Linked DNA regions of Arabidopsis thaliana. The protein of the gene in region 1 interacts with the protein of each later gene in a pairwise test. Each region holds a gene or a part of one and is shown in the gene's direction. Other genes may lie near its edges.

Region 1 (5,182 bases):
TCTCATTTTTTCCAAATTTCTCTTCCGGAAAATGAAGATTTCTATGGGTTTTTGAGTTTGGAGATTTTCTCAGTGAAGTTTATTACATAATCAGATTCGAAGAAGAAGACATTTCAGGTGAGTTTATAAAAATTCTCTTTTTTGAAGATTTTTCTCGGGAAAATAAGAAAACAGAGAGATTCGTTGCTCTGTTTCTGTTCTTCTGTAGAAACGATTAGTCACTGGTTTTTTTCCGATCGATCTTTTCAATACTATTTTTTCCCGGAAAAAAAAAGATTCAGAGATTTTTTTTTTTTTTTTTGCGTTACCTTTTTCTGCAAACATTTGTCACTTGATTGATTTGATTTAGACAGATTCGATTCGTCATTTTTTTCTGATTAATACCAAAATTTTCTCACTAAACCCAAATCAGAAACTTCACCGAAAAATGTGTATTCATTCTTCAATATTAATATAAATTTTCATTTTCATTCAAAAGTTTCCCGGTATTTATTGTTCTTTTACTTTTTTGAGAAAACGCCGAATTTTTTCTCAAAAACATTAAAAGCAAAATTGTAGTATCATAAATTGTTTTCGTCCTTTTGTAACACATTTATTACAATTACTGTCTGTAACACTACTACACTAATCTTCTCTGCAGCCATTGATGGTCTATTTATAGACGTAGACTCAGAACTAACCCCACTCGTGCCGGCTTCCTAAATAGACCAAAGCCTTCAAGAGGAAAATAAAGCAGAAGCTAGCTATCTAGTATCTCAATAATCTCAGATCATATCGCTTCATTTCTCAGATATCGAAACACAAAGGTGAGTGAGTAATAAACAAAACCCACTAATCAAAATTTTATTTTTTGGATTGTAATGATTAAGAAAAAAAGAAGAAGTCGTTTTCTGAGGTGAGAATAATAATGGTTTTTGTATCAGTTTTTGCCTTTGCTTTTGATATCAAAACAGAGTTTTTTTCGTGATTCGTGATTGTTTTTGCGATTTTATCTTTTACTTTGGATATAGTTTTAGTTTTCATGTCGCGACACGCTTTAGATTGGTCCATCATCACTCAAAACCCTAAAAATAGAAACCAATCTCTTTTTCTTTTTCTTAACACGTGACTGTCAAGATTCCATTTTCTTGTTATATTTTTCAATTTTGTTTTGCTTTTCTAGTGTTTCCAATTGTTTTCTTCTTTACTTATGTATTTGTCTTGATCGATGTTAAACACGCGGAATCAGAACATATTATTTGATTCTCTTGAGTCATCACAATAATCTGATTTTTTTTTAAAATGTCATAAATTTCGGCTACTGCAAAAAAAATGTAATTATTCTTCGAACTTTTGTTAGTTGAGGGATGGGTTTAGGATCTTTTGCTGCACACAAAAGTATTAAGTTATTCTTTAACAAAAAAAAAAAACTATTTAAAGTAGAATAAAGAAGCATTTGTCTCTATTATGATTGTCTTTAGAATATATTATTACTTGTAAATAATGTGTTTATACAATTTTCAGGTGTTTAGATTTGCACAATTAATTTTTAAAATATTAGTATTTCTTAACTGGGTCCTATTTTCTGATCCCCAAGCTCTCTTTCTTTTCTAGTTATAACATCTTTTTTTTTTTAATAAAGAAAAGTGTAACATGTAGTTTTAATATCTCTTTCAACACTTTTGTCTTTATCAAGATCTCTTCACTAATTTATACCCATCTTTTTTTATTCGCTCTTAAAATAGGTAACACAAATATCCGACCATGGTGTAATGTAAACTGTTTTTCTTTCTTTCCATTTTTAAAAAATGGGTTTAGTACTTGAAATATTTAGCATTGGTTCTTTATGAGTTAAACTACTAACCAGTCAAGTTACATTTTCTTTTTGTTATAACATGAGTAGTTGTTTCCTGACTAGAGATATGTCAACAACTTTGTCCTTTTGTGTTTGTGTTTTGCGTTATAAGAAAACGACAATTGAAATCCAAATACCCTTTTCTAGCTATATGTTCCTAACTTGTAACTAATGTTTACATGTGTACTACGATTACATAAGCTTTACCCGTGTTTTATGTCGGATTGTGAGAGTGAGCTCTACTTTAACGTTCTTAATTACTTTTTGTTTTGTTTTGTAGAGTATTATTATTGATTTGAGTAGAGTAGTGTGAGGTTTGGTTTGTGATGATGTTTAATAGAGTACTCTCTGGTTTTATAGGTCTGAAAAGGCAGAGAACAACTCAAAAAAGAGACCAAAAATGTTTTCTTGCATAGCTTGTACCAAAGCAGACGGAGGTGAAGAAGTCGAACATGGAGCGCGTGGAGGCACCACTCCCAATACTAAAGAAGCCGTCAAAAGCCTAACCATTCAGGTCTCTCTCTTCTTTCTTTGTTGATCCTTCTTCTGCTTTTATTTTCTTTCACTTTATTTTATTGCTTTTCTCTAATTGCCTTGCTCGTGAAACAAACAAAGACACAAACCCCAATTAACGTATCTTAGAGGACTTAAAAAGGGTCCATATATTTGACTATTATTCGTTTTCTTTACCAAAGAATAGAGTTTGAAGTCATTAGTATATAGAGGTTACTGTTGTTTAGGACAGAGATCTTACAATGAGGTAACTTCACTTCATTTTTTGGAATCTTTCACCAATCTCTCTTTAATAGTTTTCATGTCAGTGTTTGCTTCCTCTCTATGTGACTAGACATATGAAAGTCAAAAACAACTACTGAAACAATTTAAACCCTCATTGTACATATCCTTGAATTATGTAGCCAGTTGAATTATCAGGACTATCATTAAAGCTTATATTGGGGTCATACTTTGATGAATATTGCTAGTGAAGCTTGATCTAAATACCTTTCTCTCAAATAAGCTTTAGTGGATTCTTACCTAGACAAGGAAATAAAGAAAGGGTTTTTTGGGGTGGGGGTAACTATTTTAGTAAATCAAAAGAACATAAACAAAAGAAATAGTGGGCCGTTATGATTGTGGTGCAGGCTAAGAAGACAATATGAAGTTTCTTTTTTTAATACATATGTTTAATTATGTTAGATCTCATAGCTTTATTGTTGTTCTTTTAATAATGATCATAGTAGACCTCTTTTTACTTCATTGGGCTAAAAAGTATACTTAGTCATACTTAAAAAGGCTTGAAACTACCTATAATGTTTGTGTACCGTTATACTCAACATTCTTGTGTGTTTAAATGGATTACTTTGATAAACAAGATAAAGTTTTTGAATGTAATCGGTCTTTTTGGGTGCATATGTTACGCAGATTAAAGATATGGCTTTGAAATTCTCTGGTGCTTATAAACAATGCAAGCCATGCACTGGTTCCTCTAGTAGTCCCTTGAAGAAAGGACATAGATCATTTCCGGATTATGACAATGCCTCTGAAGGTGTTCCATACCCTTTCATGGGTGGAAGTGCTGGTTCAACTCCTGCTTGGGACTTCACAAACTCCTCTCATCATCCAGCTGGACGGTTAGAATCAAAGTTCACTTCAATATATGGAAATGATCGAGAATCTATCTCTGCACAGTCTTGTGATGTTGTACTGGATGATGATGGACCAAAAGAGTGGATGGCTCAAGTAGAACCTGGTGTTCATATCACATTTGCTTCTCTTCCCACTGGAGGAAATGATCTCAAACGGATCCGTTTCAGGTATTTGAACTACTCAAAACAATCTCTATATCTTCATGGCATTCAACGCTGAAACATGAGATAAAAACTAACAATTACTTGTGTCTTGTTTTGAAAGCCGAGAGATGTTTGATAAGTGGCAAGCTCAACGGTGGTGGGGTGAGAACTATGACAAGATCGTTGAGCTTTACAATGTACAGAGATTTAACCGCCAAGCTCTCCAAACGCCTGCAAGATCCGACGATCAGGTAAACACATATATCCTTAGATCCCTTAGTCTTTCTTCAGAACAGGATCTATATGAATCTTGTCTTTTAAGCCAGAGAGGGTAACACAAGTTTATATTTCAGTCACAGAGAGATTCAACGTACTCAAAGATGGATTCAGCAAGAGAAAGCAAAGACTGGACTCCAAGACACAATTTCAGACCTCCAGGATCTGTCCCGCATCACTTTTATGGCGGCTCTAGCAACTATGGACCAGGAAGTTATCATGGAGGACCACCGATGGATGCAGCAAGAACCACAACTTCTTCCAGAGATGATCCACCTTCCATGAGCAATGCTAGTGAAATGCAAGCTGAGTGGATTGAAGAGGACGAGCCTGGTGTTTACATTACCATCAGACAATTATCAGATGGGACTAGAGAGCTACGTCGAGTCAGATTCAGGTATAACAAAACGTCTAAAACTAAGCATTTGCTAATCATATACATTTTGAAAGTTGGTAATCATACCGTGACTAACCGGAATCTATGGTTTTGTGGTTTAATCAACAGCCGGGAACGGTTTGGGGAAGTGCATGCAAAGACATGGTGGGAGCAGAACAGAGAGAGAATACAAACACAGTACCTCTAAGCAAACGAAATATTATGAGTACCAAAATCTTTAATTAATTAATTAATCTCCTTCACATAACAACACAAACTACACACATTTTGCTTATCTTTTTGTTCATCTTAGCTTAACATCTATACATAAATTAAGTGTTTTGAAATATCATTTCTAATCAAAGCTGATTACATTTACATATAATTATAAGTCTATAACTATCGTGTAAACCATGTCGTGTGTTTTGTGACAAAGATAAAGAAGTCAACTATGAACCTAAAAGAATTTATCAACATGCGGTATAGACTATAGAATAAAAAAGTCAACTTTATTATTTGCTTATAAGTTATAACGAATACAAAGTAGAGTTGACCATTTGAGTTTTTAGATGAGAAAACCATAAACTTGGAGGAAAGTCACCATAGTTCCATCAATGGCTGAGATTTCTGATATTACTACTCAGACACAAACCGTTGTCTTGGACATCGAAAACTATCAATCCATTGATGATTCCCGGTCGTCGGATTTATCCGCTCCTCTTGTGTCCGTATCGTTCGTTCAAAAGGTGAGCCGCCTCTTTTATGTTGCGATATGGTTTCTTAATTTGTCGTGAAATATTTGTTAGTCCAAATCAAGATTTTATATTTCGTGTGATGTTTGCTATAGCCTATATGCAAGCTCAATCTTGACTTTGGTTCTAATTATTGGTAACTGATTTTCCAATC
Region 2 (2,978 bases), on another chromosome or scaffold:
CGGTTTGGCTTCAAGAGTTACTTGAAGAGATTGTTGGAAAAACGTGTAAGCAAGTGTTGATATTAATTGACAACAAGTCGGCTATAGCACTCACGAAAAACCCGGTTTTCCATGGACGAAGCAAACACATTCACAAGAGGTATCACTTTATTCGTGAGTGCGTTGCGAATGAACAAGTTGAGGTGGAGCACGTCCCCGGAACCGAACAGAGAGCCGACATTCTAACAAAGGCACTCGGGAGAATCAAGTTCAAAGAGATGAGAGATCTTGTGGGAGTTCAAGATATGACAAAGTGTAGCTTCAAGCTTAAGGGGGAAAATGTTGGAGTAAGCTTGAAGCTTACTTGAAGAAGAAGCAATCAAGCAAAAAGGAAATTAAAATTAGACTTTGTGTTTAGGAAGTTGCCTAAATACTTATGTGTGTTTTCCTAATAGGATTAGGAAATTGTCTAGTTCTTTTCTTATATAAAGGAGTTGCAAGAGTGTTGCAAAACTTATGAGTTGAGAGATTAAGATTGTGTGTTTTTAGGTTTTGAGTTATTTTCTTAAAGCAATAAAAGAGAGAGTCTTTTATTCATAATCTTGTTCTTATTCTTGAGTTTGATATATAGTTTGAATCAATATATTTTACAAGCATTCGTCACACATCTGATATATACACATTCCACACTCAATCAAAGTATGGCACGGCACAATCCCAATGATGCATTTAGATTTCTCTCTTCTATGACATTCTCCTTCCATCACTACTCCATCTGCACATCATCACTTTCATCATCAAGGCGTTTTCTTTACATACTCCGGTTGAGTTTATGCTCTTCTAAAAAACCTGCAAAAATCAAATCAAAATTTTCATTACAACGCCTTCTGAATTTCAGAAAACTATGTGCAACATAATCATGCAAGTATCATATACTAATCTAAAAATAAAATAAAAACCTTTATGCCCAAATATCCATTTCAGACATATATTTTAGTTTTTCAAAGAAACTAATCTTCTTAATAAAACAGAACTAGGATTGTTATTTTTCCTATATATCAATATGAACAATTAAATTCAAGTAGATTCTTTCAAGACTGCCTAATTTATTTTCCATTTCAAGACAATTTTAAGACTAATCTACCAAATCAAATAACCACGAGAACAGAGGTTAAGCTTCTTTGTTATTATCATCTTATGTGACCTCTTCCAAATATATATATATCTCAAATGTTTTAAATCTGAAAGATATCTAGAGCATCGTAGTTAAAGAAATAAACCAAAAGAGTTACCGTTATGTAACGTTCAAATTTACCTTTTTCTCTAACGTTCCGACTGACGTGACTCTTATGCGCACTGTATTACTAGAAATCAAAATAATAGATTAGTTTGTTTTTTTGTTACGGCTAATAGATTACTTGTTATAAAAGTAAATAAAATAAAAAGATCAAGGAATCCGATTAGATTCAAATCCGAAGGCTATTGATAAGTACTTAATCTTCTTACCATTACAGATAATATCAAACCGTCACGTGGACAGCCACAGCTTTCTTTATTATAATATTTGATAAAGTATTAATTCAGTTTGATTAAAGAATCTTCCTCTTAATAGTTTAATCCTAATCAGAAACTTCGAAAACTATCAAATCAATAAAATATTAAGAACACACACGTTGAAAATTCCCCTTTCACTTATGATTCTCATAAACAAAACTAAGAAAAACAAACAATGTTCTCAATAGTCAATTCCCTAATAAGAGTCAAAAACCAAAGGCTTGACCCTCGTTGAACATGTTGCACATCCATCATTATATATCAGAAGAACATAACTTTCACATTCAAAGATCAATAAATATCAGAAGAACATAACTTTCACATTCAAAGAATTTTAAGCGACATCTCAAGTCTCAATGGAAGCAACATCACAACAATTTATGTCTCAGAGTTACCTTAACGCTCAAGAAACCACCACAAGGGCAACGAAAAATTACCTAACTTCGCTCCATTCGACACGTAAACAACCTTCAAAGCCCTTGAAGAGGCCTGCAATATCATCACCTTTGAATCCAATGCATCCTCATGTCTACCGAGTCGAGCCAGTAAACTTCAAAGTGTTGGTTCAGAGGCTAACCGGTGCACCTGAGCACGAGACTGTGCAGGCTAAACCGCTCAAGACTTCGGATGATGCAGCAAAGCAGAGTTCTTCGTCATTTGCGTTTGATCCATCATCATCTTGGGGAGATTTCTCATTCCAAAATCCTGCAAATATTTCCAGATGGTAGCTTCTACTCTTGCAAAATGCTTCTTTTGATTGAAATGCTTAACATTCTTGTATTTATTTTTAGTTTGTTTTTAATAAACCAGAAAGATGTAATCATATATTTTTCAGACTCGCATTCTAGAATTAATTTGTTATGTCATTTATCTGTAACACACACATAATTTGTGGGAGTTAAGACTTTTGATTAAAATAAAACATAATTGGATTGATTAAGGATTCTAACTACATTGGGAATAATTTGATATTTTCATTAAAAGAATAAATTGAATTAATCAATGATTCTATATACACATGTTTAACATGTGAGAATAATTTGAAATTCACAACAATTAACGTTAGAATAATTTTACAGCTAATTAATGATGATTATTCTTATGTGTGTAGATATAATCAAGATGAGCCGTCAATGTTCTTCTCACCAAGCAATCTTCGTCGTCTTCTTTATCGCAGCTCTCTCCCGCCACCTCATGTAATTTTGATTCTATCATTTCCTGATGAAACACAATGAAACATAAAATTACAAACGAAAATATATAACTACGCATGAATCAACATTCAACATGTGTTTACGCATATAATACTAACCAGACTAAGTGTATCCGCCGGAGAGGTTGTGAAGGAGGCGAAGTAGGCAGGTTCAGGGCGGGCGCTGCACGTTAGCATGGTGGCGCAAAGGAGGAGAGCTATCGTGATCAAAGTAGAGAGATTTGCCATTTTG
Region 3 (5,495 bases), on another chromosome or scaffold:
CTCTCTCCGACCCTACTGAGTATAGAAAGCTTGTTGGAAGTTTGCAGTATCTTGCATTCACAAGACTTGATATTGCATATGCTGTAAACCGCCTCTCTCAGTTTATGCACAGACCAACCAATGATCATTGGCAAGCTGCAAAACGAGTTCTTAGATATTTGGCTGGAACTACGACTCACGACATTTTCTTTGCTGCTCAAAACGAGCTCTCCCTTCATGCCTTTTCAGATGCAGATTGGGCCGGAGACTCAGAAGATTGCGTTTCAACAAATGCTTACATCGTTTACCTCGGGAAAAATCCAATCTCATGGACTGCCAAGAAACAAAAGAGCGTTGCAAGGTCTTCAACAGAAGCTGAATATCGATCGGTGGCAAATACTGCTTGTGAAATCCAGTGGATATGCAGCCTTCTCACGGAGCTTGGGATCACACTTCCCAAACCGCCTGTGGTCTATTGTGATAATGTGGGTGCTACTTTCCTTTGCGCAAACCCGGTTTTCCATTCCAGGATGAAGCACATAGCCATAGACTATCACTTTATTCGTGGACAAGTTCAGCAAGGCATTCTTCGTGTGGCTCACGTCAACACTAGAGACCAACTCGCTGATGCATTAACAAAACCGCTTCCTCGAAATCACTTCACGGAACTTCGAGACAAGATTGGAGTGTGCATAGCCCCTCCATCTTGAGGGGGCGTGTTAAGGATACATAGGATCATCTCTCTTTAATATCATAATATTCCTCTGTCTCCTTTATGGAACATTCTATATTTGTACAACCCTAGTGTAACCTCCTCTGTACTTGTATATATACTTGTGTAAAGCTATTCGTATAATATAAGTCATTACATTCTTAACAAGATTAACTAACTAATATTTTCATTTTTTGGTTGATAATCAATGATTCCATGGCATGCACGCACGAAGTCATGTGTTGTCTCTACAATGGCAGCCACTTAAAAAACCTACCAAACCATTTACAAATGCTTAACTACAATTTTGTTTAGCAGCCCCCTTATCATATATGTACCCACCCATTTATTGTTTCATTCATTCATGTGGCTCTTCAGCATAACTGCAAGATACTAGAGGCCACAAATTGCAGTAATTTGTATTTTGGAGTTAATACCTTTGATTTAGGACACTAATTATCTCGAGCACTTGATCAGCCAATCTAAAAGGTTGTCAAATCAAAATAATAGAAGTGTCGAAATCAAAATCAGACCAAAACCATCAATTTTTTTGCAATAGCAAGAAGAATTCAAAATTTGCTGGACCTGGACCAGTCTAATCTTTATGTCATATCATTAGCTCTTGTCGTCACCATATATTATAAATCATTTTGTTGGTAAATAAATGAAAAAAAAAAACTTTTCGACCTTTCTCCATCAAAGACCTTTTACAAAATTCCAAACCCAAAACTTTAGGTTAAATTCCTCGCTCCAGCCAGTATGTAATTACGTAAGCAACTATCAATTAAATATACAACTCAATTCACAATCATGAAGATAACTCGAATACAACGTGTTTTAGTATCATTTATATTTCGTAAGGAAAATAAGCTTACCGTTTATTGCTCAGACTGTAACGTCACGTGCCCACATGTTTGACCTTACACTCCATCACAATCTGCATTTCGAAGAATCCGATAAGATTGGAAATGATTTATATAATCGAACCACATTGTGGAACATTCAAGAGGAATCCACATTAGACAATCTAATAAACTGTTTAATATTTTGAAAAGAAAGATTTTACATGCAAATGGAAAACAAAGATCTCCGCGTCTCAAGTTATTTGAAATCTCATTTTGCATATGGTCGGTTATTACCGTTGACTTTTAACTTTATCGTCCATCCCAATGAAACAACACTTGAAATATGTAAAAAAAATAGCAAAATTGACCCAAAAAAAAGAAGGACTTAACGGATCAGTGATTATTTTCTTCGAGGCAAAACAATTACATGCAAATGGAAACAAAAGCCAATTCACACGCATAAAAGTCACAATTTTTACCTTATAATATTCCTACAACTTAAAATAACATAAAAAAAAATGTCTTTATCGAAACATCACTAAAGAAAAAGAAATCTCTCTATAGTCTTTATCTTAGTATTTAATTTCTCCATCTTCCTTATGATCCATTATGCCCAAAGTCCTTCTTCTTCTTCTCTATAATTACTTCCACAAATAGAAGAAGAAGAAGAAGAAGAATAATATAGAAAAAAAGAGAGCTTCTCTTCTTATTTCTTTCTCACAGGAAATGGTGTTTGGTTGGAGAAAAGCGTTTTGCACTTCCGTTTCAAGTAATCAAGATAAACCTCAACAACATTCATCATTACACACTACTGATCCTCCAATTCCCACACCAAGATTCCGATCAAAGTTTGGTTTTTTATCCAACCCTTCAACTCCTCGTCTCCGATCACGCGGCGGAAGCGGCACTGGATGCCGCTCCTCAGCTTCCACATCAGTCACTATCCCATCTCTTCCAACTAGTCCCAAACTCCATTGCAGGACTACGAGCAATGCTACTCCAAGGACTAGTAACAGCTCAAGTCCCAAGTTTTTCTCTAACCCTTCTTCTCCTAAATCATCATCTTCTTCTTCCTCTCAAGGCGGCGGCGGCGTCTCTCTCCTCCGTGCCACGCTTCTTCTCAACAAGGTAGTTACTTTTGATTCAATCAAGTTCTTAATTTGAAAGACATAATCTAAAGCTCCGTTTTGTGTGTGTGTGGATGCAGAGTAATAGTAGTAGATGTGCGATTTGTTTGCAGAGAGTGAATTCAAATCAAAGCAACTCGACGGCGGCAATTTTCACGGCGGAGTGTTCACATTCGTTTCACCTTTCTTGCGTCAATGGATTAGAAGACAAGCGTTGTCCGTTTTGCTCTGCCGCATGGAATCACGCGCCAAAGTCGAATTATCCGGCTGTTAATAATAACTTCGGATCCGACCCGATTAGACGACCCGAGATCCGAGAGATCAAAACGGGGAAGTCACTGAGAGTGTACAACGACGATGAGCCGTTAGCTTATTCGCCGGTTTCTCTTGCTCAGATCAACACTATACATGAATCAGACGAAAACGACGACGTTGAAGATGACGATGACTTCCCCGGATTCTTCCGAGATTCTTCGATTACGTCTGATATGGTTCCTTCAATCTCAGGAAATCTGGAGGTTAAGTTGCTGCCGGAATCTGCCGTTGTGGAAACCGGGAAAAAGAAGGAGACACACGTCGTCATCATGAAACTAAAAGCGTCTCCGTCGCCGTCGTCCATCACCGATGCGATTAAGGCGCGAAGACCATCGATAGATCTGGTAACGGTTCTCGATTTAAGCAACGGCGGTGCTAATTTGCAAACGGTTAAACACGCGATGAGATCGGTGATCTCTCTTCTCCGAGAAATGGATCGTTTATCGATCGTCGTTTTCTCGACGGGGTCAAAACGGTTAATGCCGTTACGACGAATGACGGCGAAAGGAAGACGATCGGCGCGGCGAATGGTCGACGCACTCGGCGGAATGGAAACCACCGGCGGAGTTGGAATGAGCGTTAACGACGCGTTGAAGAAAGCGGTTAAAGTCGTTGAAGATCGGCGGGAGAAGAATCCGTCAACGAGCATCTTTGTTTTATCGGACGGTCAAGATCAACCGGAGGCAGTTTTGAAAGCTAAACTAAACGCAACGCGCATTCCGTTCGTCGTGTCTACCACGCGTTTCTCTCGTCCGGAGATCCCGGTTCATTCCGTTTACATTGCTTCTCCTGGAGCGTTGCTTCACGCGCCGCTACGAGACGCGTTCACCGAAAGAATCGCTTCGTTGCTCAACGTGACTCTCCATAACGTGAAGCTAAATCTCAGTTTGGTCAACGGATCTCATTTGACTGAGATTTCATCGGTTTACTCTTTAACCGGTCGACTCGAGAATTTCGGATCCGGTTCTGTCATCCAAGTCGGAGATTTGTTTGCGGAGGAGGAGAGAGAGTTTCTCGTTGAGCTCAAAGTGCCGACTTCGTCGAGTGGTTCCCACCAAGTAATGTCCGTACAGTCGTCGATCGTTGACCAAATGACACATCAGCCAATGACATGTCCTAAAGAAAAACGATTTTTGATCCCACGGCCACAATCCGTCAGATATGTATCTTCAAGCATCGAACGGCTGAGAAATTTACACTCCATGTGCCGCGCTGTAGCGGATTCACGCCGGCTTATCGAGCGTGAGGATTTATCCGGAGCGTATCAGGTTCTAACGACGGCTCGGTCCAATGCGTCTCATTCGGATGATAGTTTAAGGAGTTTGGAGGTTGAGCTAAATGAACTTAGCCGGATTAAACCGAGAAATAGTATATTAAACCGAACTGAAGATAAACCGGAGCAGCTTACCCCTACTTCGGCTTGGAGAGCCGCCGAGAAATTAGCTAAAGTGGCTATTATGAGGAAGCATTTAAATCGAGTCAGCGATATGCACGGCTTGGAAAACGCCAGATTTTAATTTTAATTTCCCTTTTTTTCGAAAATTCGATTTCAATGATTTTTGAATATATAATGGTACATAATTTATATAAGGAGGATAAGCAATAATTTAGTAAGGTATAAATAATAGAAGTATGATTATTCAGAAAAAGACCCACATAGGTGCATGATAGCGACAAGCAGTAGCCGACGGGTGTGGCCTTTTGTATTGCAGAGAGATTGAGACCCTACATTAGAAGGAATTAATTGGTCTTTTAGCATTTTTATCTTCTTCTTCCTTTTTGTAATCTTCAAAAACTCCAAATTAATGACTGAATAGTTAAAAAAAGTTGTAGATCAAATAAATGAAGTCTGCTTTTTTTGTGTACTATATAGAATTAAAAGTTGAGGTATAGTGGATTAGAGAGTGTGCTTGTAATGCTGGACTTCAAAATCAAAAGTTAAGTTTATATTATCATATGCCGTTTAACTTAAGAGGATCTATAATATATTATATCTTTCCAAATGAATGATCATGATTAGTCATGTGATCATCATTATAGCCTATTTTGTTATAGAAGGCACCGGGTTTGAATGATTTGAATAGTGCGTGGGGATTGTCTTTGTTGGTTGTTGGTGAATGGTTTGGTGGGTGCACCGTGGTAGAAACCAGGTCATGCGCCGTTGCAAAGCTTTCTTCTCGCTTAAATTCATTCATTTTATATCATTAAGACATTTACTAATTATATGTAGCTAGCGCCAAGTTGCAATTTGTTTTGAATGCAATGATTTTGTATACTTTTAAAATGGATGAAATGATTAACTATTGTCAAAGGTCCACTTCTCGATGTGATTCACTAAAATGATCAGTGGCAGAAGAATCTCGAACTATATATATGGTCAAATCATAACTAAAAAAACTAAGCTATTATTTTTTCACAAAAAAAAAAACTAAGCTATCATTCATCACGCAGTTACATATTGCATATGGACAATGTTAATGTCAACTAATGAAAGGGAAAGAATCTCGAACTATATAT
Region 4 (4,792 bases), 9.7 Mb from region 1:
CAAACGAAACGTGTTCATGTGAGTGATTGGGTGATATCGATCTTGAGGTCTACGAATGATGTGAACAATGTTATAGATTCAAAGATGGCGAAAGATTTTGATGTAAACTCTGTATGGAAAGTTGTGGAGCTTGCATTATCCTCTGTTTCGCAGAACGTCTCTGATAGGCCAAACATGCCACATATTGTTAGAGGATTGAATGAGTGTCTTCAAAGAGAAGAGAGTAACAAGAACTATTGATGTCACAACGCAAAGGGTGTAGAATAAGTCAAGGGGTTGGAAACAGAAAGATGTTGAAAACTTGGGAGTGTTTATATATTTAAATTTTTGAAAGGCTTTTTAAAGTTTGTGTTGCTAATGCTATATCTAAAAGCCCAAAGTAATAATGTAATGGAATAGAAAAGAATCCATAATAAATAGGAAAAAACAAAGAAAAAGTACCTAATCCGGTAGCCACAAGGAAAAAAGAGGACAAGAAGATGGTGACAACAAGACAAAGACCGAAGCCGCGTAGGACCCCAAACGTACCTTTTAAATAAAACGCTGATTCCTTTCGGACTTTTGCGTCGCACGGTCTGTGCCGCTGTCCCCACAAATCTCTATTTTTTACACACGCAATCTCTACCTCTGCGTCTGCGTTTCGAAACGTGACTCTTCTAACCGCTCCACGTGAGTGACTTTTAGAGCGAGTTTGGTGTCCGAAACCACGCGTGCGCGTCTCCTCAACGCCTGAGTCTCTCTATGAAGTTGCATTGACGTCAGAAAAATTAAATTTGTCTTACTTGAAACATAAAAATTTACAGTAGTAAATTATCATTTTCATAACACTTCATTTATTCTCTTGTAGTTAAACAACGGATATACTAATGAAATGAACTCGTTCAATCTAATTAAAATCTCATTATTAATGGTAGACGCTAGAGAATCTCATTATTGTAGGTGTTAATTTATGAAAATAATACATCACTTTCAATCACTGATTTGATTAGATTGATGGATTTTATATACAGCCCATGTTTTTAACCTCTCTAGTTGAAATTTTGGTTGATTTTAAAGAGAAGAGAACAAAAATTCAAAGACGAAAAAAGCAAAAAGTGGAAAGTAGAAACAAAAAGACTGATGGTGCAGAGAGCTGGTCAAATATGTTGACAAAATAAAATAACCTTACAATGTCACTATCATCAATAAATGAAAAAATAGTTCTCTCTATCTATCTATAATAATAATAATAAAAGCAACTTCTACCTGGGACTGATATTAACTACGAAGACCTCTCACTCTCTCAATGGGTTGTATAATAGCTGTCAAATTATGATGTATTTAGTCACAAGACAAAAGACTGATTCTGAACACTAAAGCCTAATTAGGGATTAGTCTTTACTCTTTAGTCATCTGTTTCATCTTTATTATTAAAGTTTGCAGGAGTTGTAGTAGATGGTGTGGGGGCAATATATGCAGAACATGCATGCTTCCAAAATGTCCTAACTACGTCACTTAAGGTTCCATTTTTTTCTATCTAAACTAAGAAATACTTATGTATCTATTAATCTACATCTAATTGGTTGTCAAAAAAAAATGTATCATAGAAGTCTTTGGAGCACATAAATAAAACATCTGGAGATTTTCTGAACATAATGTGAGGTCAAGAATTTGTGTGCAAAATTACAATTTTCAGGCATGAGTGGCTCTGATTTTGACCATTTGAATAAATTTGTAGCTTGTTATAACCTTTACACTCGTAAGGAAAAAATTATCAAAAAATATTGATAGTCGATAAAATTGAAAACTCTAGATTTATACAAATCAATAAATAAATTTGAAAATAATTAAATGAGAAGTAAATGACATTACTTCACCCAAAAAGAGTCTAGACGAAAAAGACAGACATAAAAATAAGTCCCCTTCTATTTGTTTGGAGCATAAACAAAAACAGACACAGTTTCTTCTCTCTCTCTCTCTGTCTCTTTCCTTTTCTCACGCCGAGATTTCTGCGACTGCTCTAATCTTACGACCTTATAAGAAACGACGCTTATTTTCACTCTGCTTGAGCTCTTCATCGTGTCACACAGCACGATCTTGGACGTCGTTTTAAGCGCAAAACAAAGGAAAAAGACTGACGTTTATACATACTAAATACTGGTTTGGAGTTTTGCCTTTTGGACTCAGAAAACTCAAAAGAGAGAGAGAGACATTTCTGTATCTTATCGGGTTTTGTGTTGTCAGAAAGAAGCTCAAGGACAAAAAAAAAAGCAATTATTTTTAGGGTTCAAACGAAGCAAAATTTGGAACTTTCAGAAGTTGTGGGTGGTGGCTTCTTGAACAATAAAGCTTTTTCTTAGACTCTTCTTCCAATTTGTGACTCTACCTATCTCTCTCTCCGTAAGCTCTTTCTCTCTCTCTTTATTCGTTCTTTCTTTATTTGCTCTGTTTCTTTACTCCATTTTTGGCTTAATTACACCAAATTTAGTCTGCTAAAAGCTAATTTCAAGCATAATTACTTATCTCTCCTCTTCTTGTTGCTAACCTTCAGTTGGATTAGGTTTTGATTTCGTTTATACGACAATCCCCGTGACTGAAAAAGTTACCAACTTTGATAGATATCGTTACCAGATTCTACTCATAGTTTTGTTATTGTAATGCAAGAAGTTGAGTTCTTGTTTACATTAACTTCAATAATTCACTGAGAGTGACTTTTTGTTCTCCTCTGATCCGTGGAGGATTCTCTATATGTGTTTTGTTTTTTGGGGGGGTTTTCTCCTGTTTTTAGGGACTCTATTGATTCATGCATATATGATGTTATTCTCTGTTTATGAGTTTATGCAAATAATCTAAGCAAGGTATGATAACATATTTAATCTTTTTGTTTGAGCTTATAATTGTGCTTAGAAATCTTAAAATAATGCTTAAGCTGATGTGAACTTGAGGCCTAGCCTCTGACCACAAATCCTAGCCTACTTCGTTGACCATACCTTTGTCTTGGCTTAATATTCTAAATTTCTCTTCCAAATCCTGTCTCCCAATGCATTGGTTGGTCCAAAACAAGATCATCATTTCATAGATCTTGTAATCTTTCTGGTCTGTAATTTGCTCTAGGATGGTAACCTTGTACCCTATGTAACATGTCTTGTTAGTATAAATTTTGGGTCATGTTGTGTTGATGACTCTTTAGCGCATTTCTTATTGACAAAAGGTATGGAATTCTCTAGAGACGCTGGAATGATGATGGAGAATAAGCGGAATGTCTGCTCTCTCGGAGAAAGCAGTATCAAACGCCACAAGTCTGATCTCTCTTTCAGTTCCAAGGTTTTGCTTATCCTAGCTAGTTTTCATGGATTTCTCGGTCGAAATAGTCTTCGGTACAACAAATTGCATGGTAATGATCCGTCCATCTTTGTTCTCTTAATGGCAAACAGGAGAGGAAGGACAAGGTTGGAGAACGTATTTCAGCTCTTCAACAAATAGTTTCCCCTTATGGAAAGGTAACTTTGTTTTTTTTGGCAAGCAAATCAAAAGAATCTGTCTCTCAGCTCATACTTTTCTCTAATGTTCACAGACCGACACTGCATCAGTTCTTCTAGACGCGATGCATTACATAGAGTTTCTTCACGAACAAGTGAAGGTCTGCAGTTCAATACCAAGCATGATTCATTCATCTTTATCTGAGTTCCCATGTTCTTTTGTACAGGTGCTAAGTGCTCCGTATCTGCAAACGGTACCTGATGCTACGCAGGTGAGTATGATCTTGAATCTCAACTTCATTTATACTTAGTTCACTAGTTCTACTCTGCATCTGACAGATCTTCACTTGGAACTTGAATACCTTGCACGGACTGATTTTCCCGTCTTTTGTAACCAGGAGGAGCTGGAGCAGTACAGCCTGAGAAACAGAGGATTATGTCTTGTTCCAATGGAGAATACAGTTGGAGTTGCTCAAAGCAACGGCGCTGATATATGGGCGCCCGTGAAGACTCCTCTATCACCAGCTTTCAGTGTCACATCTCAATCACCCTTTAGATGACCAATTCGACTAATCACCTACTACGATCTTTGTGTTAAGCCTAAAAAAGAATGACCAATTGTTATTTTTCTGATGATGCCTCTGTAACATATATAGACAGAGAGCACATGATGTTGGTTTAGAACAGCTCATGGTTGGCAATGATTGTTATTATTATTCGACTGCTTAATGCATCCCCTTACTTTGGACTTGTGTAATATGCCCAAACAGGAACCAAATGATTTTAATGCAAAGTAATCTTTATCCCAAAAAATGCCTCAGATATCTTAAGCTTTTCTTTGTGTGATTCTTACCTACAGCATCCAATACATTATTCTAGATCTAAAGACCCAAGGCAAGCTTTCTTTCAGTGCTGAAGGTATGATCGTGGATTTCCCTAATACATATAGCTTTCTTTCAGTGCTTGTAATAGTGCCAAACTGCTGACCACAGAATTAAGATTATCCTTTCATAAGAACATTGGATTAAATACATTACCACTGAGAATTGCAAAGGTTCAGAACATACAGACTGTTGATACCAAGGGACCAAATAGCTTGGACAAAGATAAGATAAGTCGGTCATAATGTGTTTTTAACTACTAGATTGCAATGCTTTGGCATATGTAAATGTGACAGGGAGGATCATCCTCTTCAGCTCTACATGGGATAAAACTAACTTGCTGCAGTAGGCTTGACCTTCTCTCGCATATACTGCAGTAGATGTTCGCGTTTCCAGTTGTCGATTCTGCAAAACAAGCAAATCAAGAAACAAAGAGGTCAGCTACAACCTTGG

The links.
Region 2: the proteins of BRX (region 1) and AT4G37710 interact in binary tests that used the Arabidopsis thaliana proteins (3 or more experiments, as listed by UniProt).
Region 3: the proteins of BRX (region 1) and WAVH2 interact in binary tests that used the Arabidopsis thaliana proteins (3 or more experiments, as listed by UniProt).
Region 4: the proteins of BRX (region 1) and AT1G05710 interact in binary tests that used the Arabidopsis thaliana proteins (3 or more experiments, as listed by UniProt).

Annotation. Positions count from the first base shown.
Region 1 is NC_003070.9:11,445,570-11,450,751, forward strand, and holds BRX (DZC (Disease resistance/zinc finger/chromosome condensation-like region) domain containing protein), read left to right. Parts: upstream 1-1,717; 5' UTR 1,718-1,751; coding exon 1,752-1,753; intron 1,754-2,194; coding exon 2,195-2,348; intron 2,349-3,256; coding exon 3,257-3,648; intron 3,649-3,745; coding exon 3,746-3,875; intron 3,876-3,977; coding exon 3,978-4,297; intron 4,298-4,405; coding exon 4,406-4,484; 3' UTR 4,485-4,623; downstream 4,624-5,182. Other genes in the region: NIP3;1 (NOD26-like intrinsic protein 3;1), read left to right, coding at 4,891-5,022. UniProt on the Arabidopsis thaliana protein: Acts as a regulator of cell proliferation and elongation in the root and shoot. Regulates roots architecture and primary root protophloem differentiation.
Region 2 is NC_003075.7:17,716,345-17,719,322, forward strand, and holds AT4G37710 (VQ motif-containing protein), read left to right. Parts: upstream 1-1,783; 5' UTR 1,784-1,889; coding exon 1,890-2,261; 3' UTR 2,262-2,427; downstream 2,428-2,978. Other genes in the region: PSK6 (phytosulfokine 6 precursor), read right to left, coding at 2,617-2,751, 2,846-2,974. UniProt on the Arabidopsis thaliana protein: May function as negative regulator of flowering transition.
Region 3 is NC_003076.8:26,259,210-26,264,704, forward strand, and holds WAVH2 (Zinc finger (C3HC4-type RING finger) family protein), read left to right. Parts: upstream 1-1,926; 5' UTR 1,927-2,262; coding exon 2,263-2,664; intron 2,665-2,743; coding exon 2,744-4,495; 3' UTR 4,496-4,961; downstream 4,962-5,495. UniProt on the Arabidopsis thaliana protein: Probable E3 ubiquitin-protein ligase involved in the regulation of root growth. Acts as a positive regulator of root gravitropism.
Region 4 is NC_003070.9:1,713,006-1,717,797, forward strand, and holds AT1G05710 (basic helix-loop-helix (bHLH) DNA-binding superfamily protein), read left to right. Parts: upstream 1-1,812; 5' UTR 1,813-2,379; exon of another isoform or gene 2,380-3,190; 5' UTR 3,191-3,192; coding exon 3,193-3,303; intron 3,304-3,413; coding exon 3,414-3,479; intron 3,480-3,553; coding exon 3,554-3,730; intron 3,731-3,856; coding exon 3,857-4,018; 3' UTR 4,019-4,285; downstream 4,286-4,792. Other genes in the region: AT1G05700 (Leucine-rich repeat transmembrane protein kinase protein), read left to right, coding at 1-240; AT1G05720 (selenoprotein family protein), read right to left, coding at 4,672-4,744.